Linked DNA regions of Danio rerio. The protein of the gene in region 1 purifies or fractionates together with the protein of each later gene. This does not show direct contact. Links are inferred from orthologs where the notes say so. Each region holds a gene or a part of one and is shown in the gene's direction. Other genes may lie near its edges.

Evidence for each region. Proteins that work in one complex are often made in the same cells at the same time.
Region 2: the proteins of ift88 (region 1) and ift46 purify together in Homo sapiens (affinity purification with mass spectrometry; 3 studies listed by BioGRID and IntAct, with this or other methods). This does not show direct contact. The link is inferred for Danio rerio from reciprocal best matches to the Homo sapiens genes IFT88 and IFT46.

What each region holds. Positions count from the first base shown.
Region 1 is NC_133184.1:22,989,332-22,992,854, reverse strand, and holds part of ift88 (intraflagellar transport protein 88 homolog), read left to right. Parts: intron 1-576; coding exon 577-763; intron 764-857; coding exon 858-966; intron 967-1,126; coding exon 1,127-1,277; intron 1,278-2,597; coding exon 2,598-2,713; intron 2,714-2,796; coding exon 2,797-2,849; intron 2,850-2,928; coding exon 2,929-2,994; intron 2,995-3,080; coding exon 3,081-3,187; intron 3,188-3,523. UniProt on the Homo sapiens protein: Positively regulates primary cilium biogenesis. Also involved in autophagy since it is required for trafficking of ATG16L and the expansion of the autophagic compartment.
Region 2 is NC_133185.1:34,664,260-34,667,544, reverse strand, and holds part of ift46 (intraflagellar transport protein 46 homolog), read left to right. Parts: exon of another isoform or gene 1-36; coding exon 37-185; exon of another isoform or gene 186-223; intron 224-1,114; coding exon 1,115-1,189; intron 1,190-2,756; coding exon 2,757-2,850; intron 2,851-2,926; coding exon 2,927-3,055; intron 3,056-3,150; coding exon 3,151-3,269; intron 3,270-3,285. UniProt on the Homo sapiens protein: Forms part of a complex involved in intraflagellar transport (IFT), the bi-directional movement of particles required for the assembly, maintenance and functioning of primary cilia. May play a role in chondrocyte maturation and skeletogenesis.

The sequences.
Region 1 (3,523 bases):
TGAACACAGAACACAAAAAGTTTTGTGCTTTTATTGAAAAACTCTATTAAAAGAGGACTTATGTCTGGGGTGCGGCCAATGGAGGACTTAACAATGATTGACATGACGAATTTCACTAAACTCCACCTGTTAATATCAGCTCCCTATATAAGTTGGTCAGGAAAAGAAAGTTGTTGCGCACCTCCTTAAAGTAACTTTTGCATTGCATAGATGATAACAGAATTCTGTGAATCAAATTATTCATTTGTATCCAATAAATTGTTACAATTTTTTGACCTTTTTTCTTGAACACGCATTGAATTGATTGAAAATTTCAACACTTTCATCGATTTTTTTTTTCGTTCTGATTGTTTCAACACAAAAACTAAATTGGTGAAAACAAAAGAAGATATTTTAAAGAATGTTAAAAACTGATTGTCAATGCATTCTATAGAAAGAAATAAAAGTTATGTGTAAGTATATGTAATGGCTGCCAGTTTACAAATATATGTTTTTGTATTATTTTTGGGTGAGCTATTCCTTTAATAAGATCCTCACAGATACCATCTTGATTTAATGTATATGTTTGTTCTCTAGGAAAAAGATTTTGACCAGGCTGACCGCTATGCAGAGCTGGCCATGAGCGCTGACCGCTACAACCCCGCAGCCCTCATTAACAAAGGCAACACGTTGTTTGTGAAGGAGGACTATGAGAAAGCAGCAGAGTTTTACAAGGAGTCTCTTCGTAATGACTCATCCTGCACTGAAGCACTCTACAACTTAGGTCTGATATCAGAAACATGACATCCCAAGGGGTTACACCGCATGAGATCCTTGCTACATTCAAAACTATTATTAATCTCTTTATCATCATGCAGGTTTGACGTATAAGAGGCTGGGTAGACTGGAGGAAGCTCTGGATTGTTTTCTCAAACTGCATGCCATCCTCAGAAACAGTGCTCAGGTCATGTACCAGCTGGCTAATCTGTATCCTTCCTTAAAATGTTACCATCACTATTAAATAAAAGCCTGTTATATAGTTACTTTCCAGTATGTAATTTGCCAATAAATGGCCTGACTTAAGAGGGAGAATTATAGTGTATGTTTATTTGTTTGGTAAGAGTCAATATTCCTGAAGCAGCTTTAGATATGAGATGTTGGAGGACCCTCATCAGGCCATCGAGTGGCTAATGCAGCTCACCAGTGTGACCCCTACAGATGCACAGGTGCTGGCCAAACTCGGAGACCTCTATGACAATGAAGGAGACAAATCTCAGGCCTTTCAGTATTATTATGAGGTAAACAAAAAATATATTCCCCTAAACCAACCACTGAATGGTTCAGTCTCATAGTTTAATCTCAAGTGATTTGGACATAAGGTTCTGCTAAATGACTAAATGAATGTAAAAGCAGGAGTAGAAACAGTTGAATTAAAAATAGTGATTCATTGAAATGTTAAATGTCATTCATATGAAATACAAAAATATTAAAGGGATAGTTGACCCAAAAATGAAAATCTACCGACTATTCACTCGGCTTTAAGTGGTTCTAAACCTGTTTCTTTGTTCTGTTCACAAAAGAATATGTTTTGATAAAAAATGTTGGAAACCTGTAATTACCGAATCCCATAGTAGGAAAAACAAATATGCGAATCAACTGTTACTGCTTTCCAACATTTTTAAAACATTTTGTGTTCAACAGGGAAAAATCACAGTTTTGTTACAAGTGAAGGGTGAGTAAATGATGTCAGAGTTTTCAGTTTTTGATGAACAATCCCTTTAATAAATCTCAAATTATTGAATGTAATAATTTAAGACATGTCAAGTAATTCATTGTAAATATCAATCATTTACATTTTTAACTGCAAACAGAGACTTGTAAAACTGCCTGTTTGTTAATTTAATAAGTTTGTTTCAATTATTTAAAAAAAAAAAGTGTAGTCCGAGCCATTGTTTGATTTTATTTTCCCCGTTCTGTGTTTATCTCTGACAAAATCTTTAAAATTTGGTATTAGAAAAAGAGAGAGACCTTCAAAACTATTTGCTGACATTTAAAAAAAAAAAAATTTTAACTTTAAGTTTATATGTAAAAGCTGCTCTGTGTCTGCTAAAATTCACTATAAATACATAATGTTGCATATAAGCCAGAGAAAACGTATACCTCTTTAGCCCTATTGTTAAAGTATGCAGTTATAATTGCAGTTTAAATGCGTTCTGAGCTGGATCAAACAGCCTGTGTAAAGACACCCAAATGCTACATCTGAGCCCCGTTTTAAGTATAAGTTGGGAATTTAAGAAACCATGTAACACAGTCAAGTTGAAGCTGCTCTGTGTCTGCTCAAAATTCATGATACGGACATAATGCTGCATAAAACCTGTTTAAATTATGCCTGCTCTGCCACTAGTATTAGTTGTAATTGCTGTGTAAATCCTTTTATTCCAACTTTCAGCATGATTATACACTGTAAAGCTTCTGTGCTATCTTTGTTTTTAAATATGGCAGTATTAAGATATGCCAAGATATTGAGATCACAGTATTGTAAATGATCAAAAACTGTTGTTAAAAGATTTTGAAAGAGGAAACGGGAAATTTTATTGAAATAATGCTGTTTATTTCAGTCGTACAGGTATTTTCCCTCAAACATTAGTGTCATTGAGTGGTTGGGTGCATATTACATCGACACCCAGTTCTGTGAGAAAGCAATTCAGTACTTTGAGAGAGCTACCCTAATTCAGTAAGTGGCTAAACTTCATATCTATTTACATGAATATTCTGCCTGGATCTGGAGATATATTCTTGATTTTTGTTGAATTTCAGGCCAACACAGGTGAAGTGGCAGCTTATGGTGGCCAGCTGTTACAGGAGAAGTGGTATGAGGTTAGATGTAATGACAATAATAAGAAAGTTCCATCTCAGTGCCATCAATTTTGTCACATTTATTTGTTTCAGGGAATTATCAGAAGGCACTTGAGACCTACAAGGAGATCCATCGCAAATTTCCTGAAAATGTTGAATGTAATGAGCTCAATGTTTACTTTGTTTTGATATTCAGTGCCCATCTCTTGACTTTACATCTCATATCTTTTTTTATTGTCGAGAAGGTTTGCGATTCCTGGTCCGGCTTTGCACAGATATGGGACTAAAAGAGGTGCAGGACTACGCCACCAAACTCAAGAAAGTTGAAAAAATGAAGGAGATCAGAGAGCAGGTACACGGTTTGGTCTTCCTGCAGTTTATATGCTGGCCTCTTCTGTGTCCTTAAATGGAAGAAAATAGGAGTAAAAGAGAAGAGTGAAGAAAAAACACATATAGCTGTCTAGAGGGATAATTCACAGTCTCTAAATCAAGTGTGTAGAGTTTCAATGTTTAGAATATAGGACTACAAGAAAAAGGAGATGAGCTGGATTTCTTTTTCTATTGGACACCCATGAATAACAATTGAGGAAGCTGTGTGTTGTTCTGGATATGGGTCAAAAAAATTGTCGCCCCATTTTGTTGACTGTATTAAAAAACATTTATATGCATAAAGCTTATATTTTGACCC
Region 2 (3,285 bases), on another chromosome or scaffold:
GATTTCGATGCATAACTCATTCACATTTGACAACAGAGAAAGAAAGAGCCACCACCTGGTCCCCGCGGTGCTAATAAGAATGATGAAGAAGAAGATGAGGATGATGATGATGACGACGATGATGATGATTCTGATGACACAGAATCTGATGAGGAGGAAGAGGAGCCAGGATCTGCTCCAGAAGGGTAGAGCTGCTAGCCATTATTTACTCACACACCGTCTGCTGAAAGGAGTAGAATTAAAAAAAAAAGTAAAAAGAAAAGTAAAGTTTCAGTAATAAATTTAGTGTTTAGAGGATTATAATACAGTATCTACTTAAAACCAAAAGGTATTTTATCATTTTTTTTGTGGTGAAATAGAAAGACAGAATGACTGACTTAAATATTTTATTTACTTTTAGCTAAATGAATAAAAGTGATAGATTATTTGTTGAAAATGTATTTTAATGATAGTACTTGGTGCATTATAATACATAATCTTCTCAAAACCAAAAGGTATTTCAATTTTTTTTGGTCTTTATATTAAGTGGCCTTAACTACATAGGAACTTACATGTACCTACATGTACTTACGTTGTTACAATGTACTTATTAAGTAAATACATGTATTTACTGTGTACTTATGCTTGATTAAATACATGTATGTAATTACATCTGTAATTAACTTTTGTAATTACATTTGTAAATACACTGCTGACCATTCCCTACACCTTAACCCACCCTTAAACCTACCCATGCCACCAAACCTGTCCATAACCCAACCTCTATCCCAACTCAAAAGCACCACAAGTGTTCTCAAATACATTATAAACACAGTAAGTGCATTGTATTTATTTTTTTGATGTAAGTACATAGTAGTTAGGGACACTTAATATAAAATGGGACCTTTTCTTGTGTGCGTGTGTGTGAAAATAATGAAAGAGAATCACTGATATTCATATTTTTTTTTCTTTTAGCTAAATGAATCAAAATTATTGATTAGTTGTTGGATATTGTGTATTTTAATAATGGTATGTGGTGCTTTATACTACATAATCTATACTAAACCAAAAGATAGTTTATGATTTTTGAACATAATGTACGTTTATTTATGCATTTATGTATGACTCTTCATAGTGCTTATGACCCGGCTGATTACGAGCATCTTCCTGTGACAGGCGAGATCAAAGAGCTGTTTCAGTATATCACAAGGTCAGCATGCAACCACTTCACACCTTTACAAGAAACAGTGTTTAAAGGAATGTGACAAAGCTGCAGTGCATGCTTATAAGCTGAATTTGCATTTACATTAATGCTAACATTAGGGCTATAGTTATCACTCTTGGTGAATGAGCCTTAACACTGTAAAAAATAATATTATTGTGTCATAAAACTTTAAGAATAATTCAAACATTTTGAGCATCTAATAATTATTTTTTTTCAAAGGCATTATCTGGTGAAAATGATTGTGAGTTTTAGAATTAAACTCTTTTAATTCTGTCTTTTGTAATATGTCGTACATTTAATTTTATAAAATTACTGCTTGATTGAAAATGATAAACAGATCATTAGCAATTAGGTAACATGATATTTATGTACAGTTGAAGTCACAATTATTAGCCCTCAAGTAATTTTTTTTCAAATGTTTCCCAAACAATGTTTAACAGAGTAAGGAAATTTTCACAGTATTTCCTATACTATTTTTTCTTCTAGAGAAAGTCTTATTTGCTTCATTTCGGCTAGAATAAAAGCAGTTTTCTATTTTTTTTTTGAAAACCATTTTAAAGTCATTATTATTAGCCTCCTTTTTTCGATTGGTTACAGAACAAACATTGTTACTCAAGGAGATGACTTGCCTATTTACCCTTACTTTCCTAGTTAACCTAAATAACCCAGTTAAGCCTTTAAATGTCACTTTAAGCTGTATAGAAGAGTTTAGAAAAACATCTAGTCAAATATTATGTACTGTCATCATGGCAAAGATAAAATTGATCAGTTATTAAAAATGAGTTTTTATATACATGCTTGGTGACCCCTGTCCCTTAAGCCACATGAATAAAGCTGAATCACAGTGGATACAGAGCTGTATCATGCTGGGCAGATGAGTGATTGTTAAAAACTGGAAATCTTCCAGTTGACCTCAATCTTTGAGTGGATCTCAGGGTTAGGACAAGTTGCAGCTTTTGAAAAACTCTCCTACAGTTTACATGGAAGAATTTAAATTTATTTTGATAAATGGGTAAAATTTCAGCGACCCAAAATGTTAGCAAACATGTAACGAGACAAAATAATGATTAAGGCTATGATATTAGCAACCATCCCCCCCACCCCCCCCCCCACCTTTTTTTTTTTTCTTTTTTTTTACTTCCCTTTTTTCTTGTATGTCTTTTGGTTTGGTTTACTTACTCAATTTATATGATGTTATTTTTTTATTGAATTTATTTATTTTGTATATATTTTTTAAGTTTTTTAAACAATTATTTTTAGAAATGTGTTGAAAAAATCTTCTTTCCATTAAACAGAAATTGTGGAAAAAATATACAGGGGGCTTATAATTCAGGAGGGCTAATAATTCTGACTGTATAAAGTAATTATTATAAATACAGTTATTTAAATATAATCACATTTTTTAAATTTGTAAAAATAAATATGTAAAAGGTTTTTAAGACCATTAAGTTATCATCTTCAGAAAGTAAAAAAAAAATAAAATCTTGAAGAAACAACCAAAACAAGGTCATTTCACTTTTTACTGGTATTAATTGTAAACTGTATTCTTTAGATACACTCCACAGACGATAGAGCTTGACCACAAACTGAAACCCTTTATCCCCGATTTTATCCCAGCTGTGGGAGACATTGATGCTTTCCTCAAAGTAAGTTAAACATCTCACACTTGAAGCACTGCTGCATTTCCAGCTTCATTATACATTTTCTCTTTGCGTTTTACAGGTACCACGGCCTGACGGAAAGCCTGACAATCTGGGTCTGCTGGTTCTGGATGAGCCGTGCACTAAACAGTCAGATCCGACAGTGCTTTCCCTGTGGCTCTCAGAGAACAGCAAACAGCACAACGTCACAGTAAGTCTTCGCACGCACTAGAAGACTAATGAAGACACTTTGAAGATTGCAGCCTGACAACTAAAATAACACTGTGATGCACTTCTCTTTCACAGGAAGTGAAAATTAAGAGCATTGAAAACCCTGAGAAGAACCCTAAAGCTATAGAAAACTGGATTGAGAGCATTAGCGAGCTGCATCGCTCCAAACCTCCAGCTACAGTTCACTACACAAGGCAAACACTAACAAAA